Arabidopsis thaliana: one gene and its partners. The protein of the gene in region 1 interacts with the protein of each later gene in a pairwise test. Each region holds a gene or a part of one and is shown on either strand. Other genes may lie near its edges.

Evidence for each region.
Region 2: the proteins of NRAMP2 (region 1) and SERK2 interact in a protein complementation assay, tested with the Arabidopsis thaliana proteins (one large-scale study listed by BioGRID).
Region 3: the proteins of NRAMP2 (region 1) and SUC9 interact in a protein complementation assay, tested with the Arabidopsis thaliana proteins (one large-scale study listed by BioGRID).

What each region holds. Positions count from the first base shown.
Region 1 is NC_003070.9:17,308,211-17,313,567, forward strand, and holds NRAMP2 (NRAMP metal ion transporter 2), read right to left. Parts: upstream 3,296-5,357; 5' UTR 3,099-3,295; coding exon 2,527-3,098; intron 2,157-2,526; coding exon 2,020-2,156; intron 1,932-2,019; coding exon 1,279-1,931; intron 1,064-1,278; coding exon 833-1,063; 3' UTR 593-832; downstream 1-592. Other genes in the region: CYCA3;4 (CYCLIN A3;4), read left to right, coding at 74-208, 294-377. UniProt on the Arabidopsis thaliana protein: Seems to be involved in iron uptake.
Region 2 is NC_003070.9:12,456,700-12,463,405, forward strand, and holds SERK2 (somatic embryogenesis receptor-like kinase 2), read left to right. Parts: upstream 1-1,864; 5' UTR 1,865-2,378; coding exon 2,379-2,475; intron 2,476-2,883; coding exon 2,884-3,016; intron 3,017-3,099; coding exon 3,100-3,171; intron 3,172-3,422; coding exon 3,423-3,566; intron 3,567-3,795; coding exon 3,796-3,867; intron 3,868-3,961; coding exon 3,962-4,033; intron 4,034-4,268; coding exon 4,269-4,381; intron 4,382-4,568; coding exon 4,569-4,700; intron 4,701-4,790; coding exon 4,791-5,132; intron 5,133-5,267; coding exon 5,268-5,662; intron 5,663-5,738; coding exon 5,739-6,053; 3' UTR 6,054-6,206; downstream 6,207-6,706. Other genes in the region: AT1G34200 (Glyceraldehyde-3-phosphate dehydrogenase-like family protein), read left to right, coding at 1-236; AT1G34220 (Regulator of Vps4 activity in the MVB pathway protein), read right to left, coding at 6,403-6,706. UniProt on the Arabidopsis thaliana protein: Serine/threonine-kinase involved in brassinosteroid-dependent and -independent signaling pathways. Acts redundantly with SERK1 as a control point for sporophytic development controlling male gametophyte production. Serves as coreceptor to small peptide (e.g.
Region 3 is NC_003076.8:1,867,989-1,872,219, reverse strand, and holds SUC9 (sucrose-proton symporter 9), read right to left. Parts: upstream 2,430-4,231; coding exon 1,188-2,429; intron 1,091-1,187; coding exon 1,027-1,090; intron 671-1,026; coding exon 501-670; downstream 1-500. UniProt on the Arabidopsis thaliana protein: High-affinity sucrose transporter. Responsible for the transport of sucrose into the cell, with the concomitant uptake of protons (symport system).

The DNA.
Region 1 (5,357 bases):
TTAAGAACCATGACAGGTTCTTATACAGAAAAAGTTCTTTATATTCTAAATCCTCTTCTGGTGATGCAAACAGAATCAAATGCTAGAAGAATACACAAAGTACAAAGCAGCTGATCTACAAGTGTGCGTGGGTATCATACATGACTTGTATCTAAGCAGAAGAGGAAACACTCTAGAAGCTGTTAGAAATAAGTACAAGCAACACAAGGTAAATTCAACAATTCAATGATGTAACTTTAAACTTGTGATATATTGCAACAAGAACATTCTAATATCTGATTCTCTTGGTACAGTACAAGTGCGTTGCGACCATGCCTGTTTCACCGGAGCTACCTCTTGCTTTCTTTGAAGATATTACCATTAGAGGAATGGCGTAAAAGAAGCTTGAAGCTTATGTATTGGAAGTGTTAGTTACCTGAATTTTGGGTTGTATATATCTGTTAGAATGGCAGATTAGTATTGAGTATTATCTCTTTTAGCGTATGTTCAATGATTTTTGCTAACACTAGTTAAGAAACTTTTTTTTTTTTGCTTGACCATTTTTTCAATGGTTTATTAGATTTTTATTGATTTGTTTTCTGCTTTTTTCTATGATGTAAAAGCCTCTTTAAATCATATTGGAATGTGCACATCCTCTTAACAAAAACAAAAAAGTACAACAAAGACTTTGCCACTACATATTTGTGATGTTAACATTCACAAAAAGCTAAGCTAACTCTTATCACCACTTTGGCGTTTCAATATGTATAAGACTATAGTGGATGAAGTTTGTTTACTGTATCTTCTTGACATGTAACAAATGGTCTTGAGGGCAGTTATTTTTGTGCAGCTACTAGCTATTGGAGACGGACACTCTTTTGGGAAGTTCTATGGAAGAGGATGACCAAGGAGAAGGAAAAAAGTTGCTGTGTGAAATGAGGTACACTATAAAGGCGATATAAGCAGTCGTCCAGACGCAGACCGTAACTCCAAACAGAAACCCGTCGACTTCTGATACAAAGAAATCCAACAGAAGATACCCATTGATGATCATTACAAGTGCAGCCACAGTCCAAGCTATTCTCTGCAATGTAATCAATAAATCCAATCAACTTACAAATACTCACTCTTCATGCTTCTCTATTCCATTGAAGGACTTTCAATTCTACATGTTTACTAAGATAATTGCACAAACAGTGAAACTAAAAAAGTCGAGACACCTAAAACGATAAGACTCAACACTAATTCACCTATTGTGGTATCCTATGGAGACTTGTAGTAAAAGAAGTGGAAATTTACCTGGAGAATAGGCCCAATCTTGAAGTCTCCCATAATTTCTTCTTTGGATACCAAGGTTAGAAGAGGGAGAAGAGCAAAAGGAATTTGTACAGACTGAAGGACATTGAGCCATTCATTCAAAACATCCAAGGAAGCTTCAGAAGTATTGAACACGATTGCCACAATCATTGTAGGCACAATAGCACAGCTTCTTGTTATTACTGCCCTCATCCATTTCTTAAGCCGGAGATTCAGAAAACCGCCCATTATAAACTGTCCAGCATATGTACCAGTTATCGTACTGCTTTGTCCGGCTGCTAACAACCCGATACCCCAGATATAAAGAATCGGAAGAAGCCCGCCTCCAAACTTTTCTTGAAGATACTGACCAGCATTAACTAGGCCAATGTTATTAGCTTTCTCAGTTCCATAAAACCCCTTTGCAAAGACAGTAGTCACAAACAAGTTAATCATGAAGGAGATGAAAAGTGCGACGGATGACTCGATCAAATAGTAATTAAGCGCTTCTTGAACCCGGGATTTCCTCTTCGGATCGATTTTCCTCGATTGTACAAGAGCCGAATGCAAAAACACATTGTGAGGCATTATAACACAGCCAACAACACCTACAGCTTGCCTAATTGTCTTTGAGCTAAGTCTCGGTAGTAAAATACCTATCCATAAACACAAAGATTTGATTTTTAAGCACTCAAATCAAAGCAAATAAAGTGAAATTCAAGAGTAAAAATCTGAAATCTTTACCTATCATAAGTTCTTTCCCACTCGGTTTTGTTTCACCAAACATCCAAGCAAAGGACAAACCCATAGTTGCGATCAAAACTGCAAAAACAGCTTCTAACTTCCTCACACCGTAATTCTCTAGAAACAAAAATAAAAAACTGTTTGCAACAAATTCATTAGCCAAGTTTTCAAAATACAAAAAAGCAAGTTTCTTAATTTCAGATTCGATCACAAATCGTTAAACCAATTCTCTACTGATTTGTGAGTTTGGATCATCTTAGCAAAGTTTTACAAGAAAACAGCCAAAGTAAAAGCAAATTCTCAACTTCAGATTGAATCATGAATCTCTAAACCAAGTTTCTACTGATTTGTGAGTTCGAATGATCCATACTCAAACTCAATACCGCTAAGATGATCCGCAAAGTTTTAAAATTTCAGAATGAATCATAAGATTCTCCAAACCAAGTCTCTACTAATTCTACGAATCCAACATCTCTAAAGAACGAATAGAGTATCGAAAGGACTCACCAATCGGAAGCAGTAATAACAACACCAGCCCAAAGAGGCAAGAAGCCACGGCTAAGAATCTGAATAGCAATAGCACTACCAATAACCTCTTGAATATCAGCACCAATCAAAGCAAGTTCCGCCATAGACCAAAGCACATACCTAGCCCAAGTAGGATACTCATCACGACAAAGCTCAGCTAAATGACGACCAGTAGCTACACCGACTCTAGCTGACAACATCTGAATCAACAACCCCATAGCTGTTGCCCACATTAGTAGCCACAACAGAGAATAGCCAGCGATTGCACCAGCTTGTAGATCTCCTTCTAGATTCCCTGGATCCAAAAACGCTATACTCATTAAGAAACCTGGACCGGTGAATAACCAGAGCTTCCGCCATGAGAATGGCGGTGGTGTGTCTCCGGTTGTTGGATCGTCGGGTGATTCGAAATCGACGATTAGGATCTTTTCGTTTGTTTCGAAAGCCGCTTCGGATTCGGAATCGGTGGATGGGAGAGATTGTGAAGGAGGAGGAGGAGGAAGAAGACGGTCTTCCTCTTCTTCGAGATTCTCTTTGACGTCGTTTTCCATGGAGGAAGAGGGAATATTCGGTGAGGGTTAAATCGGAATATTCTGTCGGTGGTGGTGGTGGTGTCGTCGACGTACCTGAATTTTGAATTGGAGGGATAAAAGAAGAAGAAGACGCAGGCACTTAATCAGATGCTTTTTAAAAAAGAGATTAATGCGTTTCTTTTTCGTAACTTTTTGGTACCAGATTCAACTTTATTATATTAATGCCTAAAAAAGAAGAAAAACTTTATGTTATAAATTTGCTTTGAAATTATGTATTTAGTGTAGTGTTGCCATAGTTGTATTGTCACAAATTTGAATAAAGCTTTGCTTTTTAATGACGTTAATTGAATACAAGGTAGTGAATAAAGTGTGTGTTTTATACATTTTTAGATCCATTGCTTGATCTATCTCTTCCTCTCTTTTATAGATCACAATGTGTGAAACTAAATATCCCACACCAAAAGTTTATTGAGTTTCCAATATAAGATTCATGATTAGTTTTTTAGAGCTTCATGAATAGCATAGTTGATATGATTGTATTACTCACATTCCAAAAATTTATGAGCAGAAACTCAACCATTGATAAAATGTTTTTTTTTTTTTGATGCGATGCAAATTATGAAAATTTAACCTCCTCATCCGAAAGTCTTTTAACTAGAACTCAGTTTTAATCTCATCAGAAATTACTGGTTTACATTCAATAAGCTTACTAAATTTTTTTGCTGAATTTTCCAAAGTGAACAAATCATGAGGATTTTTAGTTAAGTGAATATTTAGTGACTATTTTTCTTTTTTTCTTTTTTTTTTGTATCATGAGGATATTTAGTGACTAGTATTTTTGTCAATCCCTTCATGTGTGTTTTCATCACTCATTATTTAAATCATAAAAACATGTTATTCGTTTTTTTTGTGTGTTTCAACTTTCAAGCATGAACATAATTAGTATTTCTACTGTACCTTCTTTTACCATATTTCAATGAGTATCTACATAAAATAGCCATGGATTCAAAAAAAATTAAGAGAATAGCCATGAGCTACAGGGGTAAGTCGGAAACACATGTAATTTTACATGTATAACCTTAGACATCAAAGCGACAAGACACTGTTTGGGGAGCGTATGATTCTGGGTTTGAAATTTGAATTCTATTGCATTATTCGGCCCAAGTTTGTCTCACGACCAAAGTAATAACCCTAAAATTAAAAAAAAAAAAAAAAAAAAAAATTTTTCTCACCGAAAAAACCTCTCTCGGCGGCGATTAATTTCATCGTCGTTGCTCTCATCTTTTCGATCCAAGTAGTAGTTGTTTCTAGAAATTGATTGTGTTTCCGATTATCCTTTTCAAATCGTCTTCTCGTTGCAGTCGCCGGTGACAATCGAAGGATTAATTTTTGGTCTTCCCTCGCCGACGATTTGGGTAAGTAGAACCACTGATTTCCGATTATTTACAGTTGCTCTTCTTATTTCTCTTCCCCTATACCTTTAATTGCATGTCAATCATCGCTTGTGTCTAGATCTAAAGTTCGGTTCGTTGTTAACTAACCCTAATTTTGTTTCGTGTACTGTTGATGAATGAAAGTTAGGCGACCATCGAGAGTTTGCGGCTAAAGTCTCTGTTTTTTTTTTGGGAATCCTTCTGTGCTTTTTTGGAAAACACATGAGGTTTGTAAATATTGATGTGCTTTGTTTGAATAACCCACGAGGTTTGTAGATATTGCGTCCTTTATCTGTGTTTCTTACATGCAACTAACCCATTTTTTGTCTCTTACTATTCACGAAAGAAGATTAGGCGATATCGGAGGCTTTTGTGGCTGACGCTGTGGGTTTTGTTTGAAAAACACTTGAGGTTTGTAAATATTGTCTTTTGATCTGTTCTCTTTTATACTATACTAACCCAAATTTTGAACGTCTTACGTTCCATGACTGCAGATTCGGCGATATCGAGGATTTTGAACGTCTTACGTTCCATTCATTTTCGTTTATTTATCGCCGATCTTCTTCTATTTCTTCCCCTTTATACTTCAATTGCATAGAAAATAACGATTGTGGCCAGATCTAAAGTTCGGTTCTTTTTTCCCTCTATCTATATCTTCTTCTATTTCTTCCCATGTATACTTCCATAAGTATCTTGCATAGGGTTCTTACCTGTTGTGTCCAGATCTAAGTTTTGATTCTTTTTTATTTATTCTCTACTAACCCTCAATTTTTTCTTAATCTCTCTACATGAAGTTAGATAAGGCGAGATCTGGGAATTTCCTCAAACTCTTTGGATTCTGCTT
Region 2 (6,706 bases), 4.9 Mb from region 1:
CTGTGTTTACTACAAGTGGTGGAGGTTGTGTTAGTGAACATAAAGTAATGACTGAGCTTTCACAAGAGGCGTGTATGGTTATGGAATTTGCTCGGTTGGTTGGAGAAATCAAAAACAGAGGAGCTAAACCGGATGGGTTTTGGATGAGGTTTAGCCGGAATACGCAGTTGCTTGTTGATGCTGTGAAAGAGTCGATTGATAATAACCTTGAACCGGTGTTTCTCTCCGGCCGGTGAGAAAGAGCTCAGAAGTTAGATCAGATTTGTTTGTGTCGATGCTTTTAGTAGATGTAGTAATTAGGGGTTTATGTATGATATCTTCTCGGCGTCCGTTGGTGGAGAGGTCAATTAAAGATCTCCTTGGCGCATGGCTGCAAGCATTTCATCAATACATTTCATCCATCACCAAGAAATTCTAGGGATATATACTGCATAGAGCTTCAAAGACTTGGTGCAGTGTCACTCACGAGTTTTGCTGTGTTTAATGTGGCACCGGGGTTTGCTTGTAAATCTATACCTCCAGCTTTAATAGCAGAGGTAGTGACTATGGCTGGTAAACTTTGGCATTATGTGACTTCTTTCTCCGATGTGACATCTTCAGGTGTCCAAACAAAAATCTCTGCTCATAAGACAATATAAGTTCATCGACAATACTAGCTACTGTTTTGTTGAATTCACAATCTCTGCACCTTTCTTATATAGCAGCCACCTTGGATTAATTTTGTTTTTGTTTTCCTTTTTCCTATGGTTTATGATTCAGAAGTTTAGATTATACGTTTATTTACAAGAATCCAGAGAATGAGTACATAATTGACCAAAAATAAAAGTTCAAATTATTTTGATGTAGAATTATAAATTAGTATTTGTAACTATGTTTTTTTTTAGTTTTTTGAATTTTTAAAGAAGAAAAAACACACATGTCAATATTTGTTCGACAAATATTGGTATGTGTTGTGTTCACGTGAGTTAACAATTTTGAAAACTTATCTACATATACATTTTTGCAGCCATTTATGTATACTTATTTACATTGGTTGCCATTGGCTTTTAATTATTGGGTTTTTTTTTTTGGTAATAAATTGATTAACAAACGAAAAACATTCGAAATATATTTCAATCCTATATATCACGCAGATTTCTCCAAAATTTAAACTAGATTTTGGCAACTATTTAAAACAAAAAATGTTTGACAAACTAAAATACAATTGCAATCCCTTAAAATGAGCAAAACGCACCTAAATACATTTTTTACAATTCACTAAATCTTATTTCTCCAAAATTTGAACTAGATTTCGGCAACTATTTAAAACAAAAATTTGTTTGACAAACTAAAATACAATTGCAATCCCGTAAAATATTTATTTAAATTAGCGGTGTACTACAGGTTTTTTTACGGAACGGGTTTGGCAAGACGGGTTTGGAAGAACTTTACTTAATAACAATTGTAAACTATAAAATAAAAATGTTTTATAGATAGATATAATTTGCAAACTTTTATATATATTAATTTTAAAAAATAATTTGTCTCCGCAGTATACTGCGGGTTAAAATCTAGTTATAATATATATCCGTAAAGAACAATAACACAGTATGAATTTTTTTTGTAAGTTATTCGATTAAAAATTAAAAGAAGCAAATTAAATTAAATAATGAGCTACCAAAACAAATAAACAAAAATTACTTTTTTGTCTATAAACATGGAGTTTTGCCAAGAAATTGTAAATAAAGTTTCTATTCCTTTTTTGTAAACAAAAGTTGTGTATCTAATTTTCTCTTTTCCATAAGTTGTGAATTGTGATAATAATTTACAAGTTGACAAAGAAAGAAAAGATTTAAAACAAAAAAAATGTGATTGTACTTAAGATTTCAAAGGTAGCGTTTTGTTGTTTCTCTCTTCCTCTCTCTCTCCACTGGTACCAATCACGCTCCATTAAGAATTTAAGAGAGAGAGAGACTAAACTTGAGCCCATCACTTTTGTAGTGACTAGTGAGTAGAGTAGGCTTTTAGAGAGAGAGAGAGAGAGACGGCTGTTGAAAGATAACCACAGAACACAAAAACTCATTCATTAAGAATGAGAAAGAAAGTCCCAAAAACCTTTTTTGCTCTGAAAAAGCAACGCAAAGTTTTGAAAAATCTCACACCTTTTTCACTTCTCTGTTTGTAGCTGTTACCACTTGTGTTTCCCCTTTGGCATTTTTCTCGGTTGTCATTAATGAGAGTAAAATCATCATCAAGTGTAAACTTCTCTCTCTCTTTCTCTATCTCTATCTCAAAGCTCTCAACTTTGGAGAGATCATGGTTTGTGTTTGATTTCTCAAGTTTTTTTTTTTTTACCCTCTTGGAGGATCTGGGAGGAGAAATTTGCTTTTTTTTGGTAAATGGGGAGAAAAAAGTTTGAAGCTTTTGGTTTTGTCTGCTTAATCTCACTGCTTCTTCTGTTTAATTCGTTATGGCTTGCCTCTTCTAACATGGAAGGTTTGTTACTCTTCTCTTATCTTTCTTTATTATTTATGTGACTACTTTTGCCTGTTTTAGTTGGTACATGAGAATTGAAATTTCCATCTGGCACTGTCTCTGTTCTTCAAAAAGGACTTTTTAAGAATCTGATTCTGTTTGAAAGCTTCAATTTCTATAGAGAATTTTGTTCATAATCTATGGTTAGGCTCCTTTAGAAAAATCACAATTGATTTACTGTTTGATTCAATGCTATTTCTCTGATAACGACATGTAAAAGAAACTGTATTTATGTCACTAGCAAACACATTAAGAATGAGGAACTGAAGAAGTATTCAATGCAAACTGTTTGGTTGTTTCATGTTTGATTTGTTTGGTAAGTATTTCCTCTTTGCGAAAGGCTTAGGCTTTTGTTTGGTATATTAACAGGTGATGCACTGCACAGTTTGAGAGCTAATCTAGTTGATCCAAATAATGTCTTGCAAAGCTGGGATCCTACGCTTGTTAATCCGTGTACTTGGTTTCACGTAACGTGTAACAACGAGAACAGTGTTATAAGAGTGTGAGTGTCTCTCTGCTTATACCTGACCTGACCAATGTTCTTTGTTTAGCTTATTTAATCTCTGTTTGTTGTTGCTTCTTCAGCGATCTTGGGAATGCAGACTTGTCTGGTCAGTTGGTTCCTCAGCTAGGTCAGCTCAAGAACTTGCAGTACTTGTAAGTTTTTGCTTTGATATCTAAATGGAAGATGAATCGTTACTCTGTAGATAAACGAAAAGTTGATGGCATTGACTATGTGTAGCATAACTACTTTATTTCTAGAGACTTGTAGTTTCTCATACATGATATAGGCGAATATGGCGATTACACTGAATCTTGTTTTTTCATTTTATTAGGACTTATTCAATACCCATTTGTCATTGTACATTGTTAATTTTCTTCTGAGGGTGTGATACTCTTAATGGCAGGGAGCTTTATAGTAATAACATAACCGGGCCGGTTCCAAGCGATCTTGGGAATCTGACAAACTTAGTGAGCTTGGATCTTTACTTGAACAGCTTCACTGGTCCAATTCCAGATTCTCTAGGAAAGCTATTCAAGCTTCGCTTTCTGTAAGAACACTTAGTCTGCTCTTCTCATCATGCACTGGCTAAATGTTTTGCTATATTAGAAATTTACTGAGGATTAAATTCTCTTTTGGCTAAATGTTATTACTTGTTGGACATTTGAATAGAAGTAAAAGAAATTGGCTTTGTCTTTCAAAACACTGAATAAACTTGTTTGATTGAACTCTGGTATGGGAAGATGGTAATGTGGTCTGAGTTTTTGTTGCAAGGATAGTCGGCTCAACAATAACAGTCTCACCGGACCAATTCCCATGTCATTGACTAATATCATGACCCTTCAAGTTTTGTGAGTATTACTTTTCAATTTTACTTTCTGCTCTTCTGAACTTCTCACTCTTAATGGATCACCTGAGTTTTCCTTATTATCTTGCAAACTGCAGGGATCTGTCGAACAACCGATTATCCGGATCTGTTCCTGATAATGGTTCCTTCTCGCTCTTCACTCCCATCAGGTTTGATTGAATCCATACTATGCAAACATTAGTTACTCGCATTATGGGAACTGAGGCTATAAGTTAAGATTAAGCACAAGTGGCAATAAAATTTAAAGTCTGAACCTAAGTTTCTTTTGATCATCTTAACTCTTAAGTAAATTTACTCAATAGACATACTACATTTTCCAAATTCTATTACTTTAATTGGTGGATATGGAAATTATCAGCAGTTGACCATTGTTCTTCTGCACAGTTTTGCTAACAACTTGGATCTATGCGGCCCAGTTACTAGCCGTCCTTGTCCTGGATCTCCCCCGTTTTCTCCTCCACCACCTTTTATACCACCTCCCATAGTTCCTACACCAGGTAATGAAATGAAGCAGACAGTAAAATTTAGATCTTTTACCTTCACTCATGCTTGGAAAAACATATTGGATGGTTGTTATAGAGTTTTTTACTGGATTTTGACTGGAAAAAAGTCTATCTCACAGTTTAAGAAGCTTGTGATCAACTTCACTGGTAGTTAACTATTTTGGTAAAAATAAAATTTAAGGTGGGTATAGTGCTACTGGAGCCATTGCGGGAGGAGTTGCTGCTGGTGCTGCTTTACTATTTGCTGCCCCTGCTTTAGCTTTTGCTTGGTGGCGTAGAAGAAAACCTCAAGAATTCTTCTTTGATGTTCCTGGTAAGTCACTGAGTCTGCAATATCCAAGCTTTGTTTCATTTCAGAATTGGATTAGTATTTAGTACTTAATTTTTCAGTTCTGTGATGCAGCCGAAGAGGACCCTGAGGTTCACTTGGGGCAGCTTAAGCGGTTCTCTCTACGGGAACTTCAAGTAGCAACTGATAGCTTCAGCAACAAGAACATTTTGGGCCGAGGTGGGTTCGGAAAAGTCTACAAAGGCCGTCTTGCTGATGGAACACTTGTTGCAGTCAAACGGCTTAAAGAAGAGCGAACCCCAGGTGGCGAGCTCCAGTTTCAGACAGAAGTGGAGATGATAAGCATGGCCGTTCACAGAAATCTCCTCAGGCTACGCGGTTTCTGTATGACCCCTACCGAGAGATTGCTTGTTTATCCTTACATGGCTAATGGAAGTGTCGCTTCCTGTTTGAGAGGTAACCTTGGAATTTTAACTGTTTGTATCATAAAGTAGAAAGACTCCCACAATGATGTATAAGTGTTGTTTTTGATCTTATCCATTTTTAAAACTTTCCAATACAATTGAGTGAGCTTTCTTGAAATGATTACAGAACGTCCACCATCACAGTTGCCTCTAGCCTGGTCAATAAGACAGCAAATCGCGCTAGGATCAGCGAGGGGTTTGTCTTATCTTCATGATCATTGCGACCCCAAAATTATTCACCGTGATGTGAAAGCTGCTAATATTCTGTTGGACGAGGAATTTGAGGCGGTGGTAGGTGATTTCGGGTTAGCTAGACTTATGGACTATAAAGATACTCATGTCACAACGGCTGTGCGTGGGACTATTGGACACATTGCTCCTGAGTATCTCTCAACTGGAAAATCTTCAGAGAAAACTGATGTTTTTGGCTACGGGATCATGCTTTTGGAACTGATTACAGGTCAGAGAGCTTTTGATCTTGCAAGACTGGCGAATGACGATGACGTTATGCTCCTAGATTGGGTATAACACAGATCTTTTAGCACATATCTGGCTATCTCTCAAAAAGCTGATTTATCTGTTCATTTGGTCTTCTCAGGTGAAAGGGCTTTTGAAGGAGAAGAAGCTGGAGATGCTTGTGGATCCTGACCTGCAAAGCAATTACACAGAAGCAGAAGTAGAACAGCTCATACAAGTGGCTCTTCTCTGCACACAGAGCTCACCTATGGAACGACCTAAGATGTCTGAGGTTGTTCGAATGCTTGAAGGTGACGGTTTAGCGGAGAAATGGGACGAGTGGCAGAAAGTGGAAGTTCTCAGGCAAGAAGTGGAGCTCTCTTCTCACCCCACCTCTGACTGGATCCTTGATTCGACTGATAATCTTCATGCTATGGAGTTGTCTGGTCCAAGATAAACGACATTGTAATTTGCCTAACAGAAAAGAGAAAGAACAGAGAAATATTAAGAGAATCACTTCTCTGTATTCTTTATTTCTTTGGTAGAAAAATAATGTAGTCTCTAATCAAATCTTATTCCATCTATCAGCATTCTTCATTCATTTCTTGTGAAAACCAAGGCCTTTAAATTAAACATAATCACAAACACCAAGTTCTATACATTACATATGTCTTCCACTGGATAAAGAGGAAGAAAAGGCTATTCCAAAAAACATTTTGAGCTCTTTGTTCCGCAAGAGAAGGAACAGCACAAGTGAAACACACTGAAAAACACCAAGCTTGCATTATAACATATGCAGGTAAGAATCACGAATCATGGGCGGGTCTTGTATTGTCTGAGAACGAATGAGAGCCAGATGAGGGATCATGCTTCTGCGATGTGAAGAGATTAGGGTATGAGTAATAGGGATCATCTTCCATTGAAGGCAGTCTCATTTGCTGATGGTCCTGGTCAGGGCTGAGTCTGTCAAGTGGTGAAGTCTCTGGCCTTTGGAGCTCTGGCAGATCGCCATAGCTGCTGACTGATGAGTTCTGATGATCAAACTGCGGTTTCTCCATTGACGGGAATCTATGTGGTGTAAGATCGTCATAGTTGCTGCCTGATGAGTTC
Region 3 (4,231 bases), on another chromosome or scaffold:
TAGGCCTTCATTTCTTTCTTCGCTAAACCGCGGCCGGTAAGCTTTTTGCTACCACACTCATCCATGTGTCTACTCGAGTCTTCCCACCTGCCCCGTCGTCTTTGTTTAGACTAAATTTATTTTTTTGGTCTTTGATTTCATTTTATTTTATTTTATACTTTTTTAAAGTGTATTATGTTTTTTTGAATATTTCATTGTTTCTACAAAATAAAATGTATCATGAATGAATTGTCATATAAAGGTAAAAATGTTAGATTTACAATTCCTATGCATAATATTAATTTTTTTTTTTGTTATTTACCTAGAAGTTTAAAATACTTTAATTTACGCAGATTGATGTTGACATAGATATAGAAGTTAAACAAAAACAAGAAGAACTTTTTAAAATTAAAACTTTAATTAAATAATGTAAATAAATATGCCACATGCTACATTAATATTAAACATGTGGATACATAACAATAAAAAAGAAGCACATAACAATAAAAAAAAAAAAAAAATTAAGGTAAAACGGTAAGTGCCACAACACTGCTGATTAGAGCTGCTATAGCTCCAACCACAAATCCAGGTAAGTTTCCACCTCCAAATAACGCATCAATTGGACCAACTCCAAACGATACAATCATTTGTGGTATCACTATTGCCATGTTTAAAACTCCTAGAGAGAGTCCTGAAAAAATGACAAAAAATGTTATCACTATCCTTATTAATCTGATAAACGCTTTAATAATAATCTTAAACAGAACGATTATGTATCTTATTGATACATTTATGACAAATTTTATATGGTGAATGAAAACCAACTAATAATTGAAGATGTAAACAGATTGTATAAAAATATCAATTAACCAATAAATTAGTACATAACATACATCACCCTATGTGAAAATATATACTCGATCGTTTTTCTTATAATTGGAAACTGATCTCTCCATTACCGTTTTTTGTGTTCACACATTTTAATTAGCATTACTATGAGAATGTAGGTTCAAATTAGAAACAAAAGGAGAGGTTAAAATTAAATACCTTGACCGGCACCGGAACTGCTTGAAATAATGGAAGCTAATGCAAATGGAATACTAAATGTAATCTATAAAATATAGCAAAAAATGGATTAATATTGTTAAACAAAATAATAATTCATGGATAATAGTAACAAAAATTGGTAAAAGACATGGTGGACTTACAGCAAGAGGAATTCCAAGAATAGCAAAGAGACTCAATGCTCCATCTCTGATGGCATTGGTAGGAAGGGCCATCCGACCAGCGATCTTCCGGTGCTCCTCAGCCTTTTTAGTAACCAAAACTGTCATTGCCAAACACACCGCGAGGATTATGTTCACAGCTCCCCAAAGCCTTTTAGCTCCAATTTTCTTACTAATCACTCCAATAACAAGGGACATGACTCCAAGAACGATAGAGTTAAGCATCAACCCCAACGAACCAACTTGGATTCCGTGGTTGTATAGTTTCTTCATTTTGTCATCTCCTGCTGAGTCTCCACCATACACTTCACGACCCATCCAATCGGTATCGTATAAAAGAAAAGGAAACCATGCGATCCAGTTCAAGGCCGTGACGGCTAGAAGCATCCACATTGGACGTTTCATCACCTTGAAAGCTCCAAAGATCTCGCCAAAGAAGGGAGTTTTCTCATTGTCGGAATCTGCATTAGGCGACCATTGCTTGTCTTCCACGTACCAAAGAGCTATGATTGTGAGGACTATGAGGAGAGTGATGGAAATAATGAAACAGCTCTTGAGATTTGCACAATAGATGTCGCATGCTTTAGTCACTGTGAAAGGGAAAATCTTGTGGAGGTTAGTGTACGATCCCGCAGCGTATCCCAAAACGTTTCCAACGGCCATGAAGAAAGAGAAAATCGCGTTGGCAGTTCGAGTTTTCTTAGCATCTCCGGCTGCTAAATCACCAAGAAAAGCACGGCAAGGTCCTTGAAGAGTGTTGTTAGCCACGTCAAGGATCCAGAAACCGACAACGAAGAAACCAACGGCTCTTATCTTGACAGCTTCGTCGAGTTTATCTCCCATGGTGTGGCCGAAGTCAGCCGCAAATCCAATTAGTATAACAGCAAGGGCAACAAGCAAGGCACCAGTGGCGATGAAAGGTCGACGACGACCGAATCTTGACTTGCATCGGTCGCTGAAGTAACCGACGGTTGGCTGGACGAGCAGACCGGAGATAGGACCACATAGCCATATGAAAGATGACCATTTGTGTGGGACTCCGAGAAGCTGAACGTATGGGGTTAGGAGAGAAAGCTGAAGAGCCCAACCAAACTGTATACCGGCTGCGATAGAAGCCACTGATATCATCTTTCTTAGAGGTGACGGCTCATCAGGAACCACAACCGACGAAGAAGACTGTCTATCAACAGGCGCCGCATCTTCTTTTGCTTGGATGTCACTCATAGTTTCTTCACGTTATCTTAAGAGGTTGTGTTTTGGTGATGGTGAATCGTGATAGAGGAGATGAAAAGAAACGGACTCGTCTCTTAAAGACGAGGTGTGGAAGATGAATGAGATTTATGTTTCTATAAACGTTTTGATTCTGTGTTTCATTAGTTAAGAAAATAAATCATTTATACTAAAGGATATAACGCAAATATCCTTATAGGAATTTGGTAATAATGACAAGACTAACTGAAATCAGTTTATTATCTTATCTTTACATATTCTGAGATCGTGACAGATTTCTTGTTTCTGTAATATGTTTTTGTTTACAATTTCTCGTCAAATTTGTTTTGTTCGTTTTCCTTTTTTAAATTTCTGTTTGCATCAAACCGCATTACTGTTACATATTATTTTGACTTCCTCCACAAGAAAAAGAAGGTGAAACAAATGATATCTCAAAACCCAATTTGGGTACGTTAAGTATCCAAATTGATTATGTCGTCAGTTACGAGCCTAACATAAAATGGTTAAGTATCCAAAATTCCAAAGTGATTATGTCGTAAGATATGGGCCTAAAGTCCATAAACGTGAAAAAGCTTCTTCGATTAAGGTAAAACAAGCAAGTTTTCACGTTATCTTCACTAGATATATGTCTATCAATATTGATGATAATATTAAAGTCAAATTTCACAAACCTCGAACGAAGCTGCAATGTCAAGCGAAGAAATTTGCCAGCAGCAGAGAAAACGAGAACATCTTCTTTCCAGCATGATTGCAAGCTCTCCAAAAGACTAACGCTCTGTCTGAGCATCAAGTTGCGGGAAATCGGGTTTATATGAGTCAGAAACCTGAATGAAAACAAGAGAAGCTGAGAAGCCACTACTCTAATGGCAAGTATAGCCATCTATGATAGTTCTCGAGTACCTCAGTGAAAAGTACACTCCCACATTCCATTACTTCATGAATTCAGTACATATCGCTTGAGAGTTACATCAGACCTTGACGGACAATAACTTCTTTCAGGATAGATTTTGCTAAGAAGTTGTCTGTTTTAGCAACAAGATACAAAGAAAAGAGTACAATGAGTGAAATGTAAAACGACATCATAGAAGGAAACAATGTCCAATTATGATTAATGAACAAGGTTGGTAATACATCAAAATATGAAGTCTGAGATGGATCTCGGTGCTGAAGACGGTAACTTTCACGACCTGACATTTTCGAATCGCTGTTTCCCCTCCCCTGTGCAGACCACCGGCGATGGAGGAGTTTGTCATATAGTGTCTCTGTATTTAGACTGCGTGCCGAATTAAAGTTATAGAGCAGAACTCCGTGTCGGCATGGCTCAATCCAATTCGGTTCGGTTCGGTTCGGTTTAAGTAAGAAGAAAAAAACTTGATGAATAAGGCGATTCTGGTCTTTTTGTTTTCTGTCTTGTTTTGCCTATAAGGCTTAAAATAACATGGGCTTAAAGCCCAATAGTCAATAAACGAGGATAAGCTTCTTCGACTAGGGTAAAACAAGTCTTCACTATATATACAATGCATCTTCGATTATAACCCCCAATTCTTAGATATTAGGGCTTATGTTCTAAATCGTGTTATTCGTATTTATCGTTTTTTTTTTAAATCGTTGCGCAGCCCTTAAGATCGCCTTCCACAAATGCTTAATGGAAGCGTGTCGAGTCATTGCTGCGCTAAATCGAAATTTATTAAGGGTTTTTGATTAGGGTTCTCCTAAGAACTAACCCAGTTTTTACCTTCCTGATTTATTATAGGTCGAGTTTTTTTATATCGGCATTAGATCTGGAATTAAGGTCC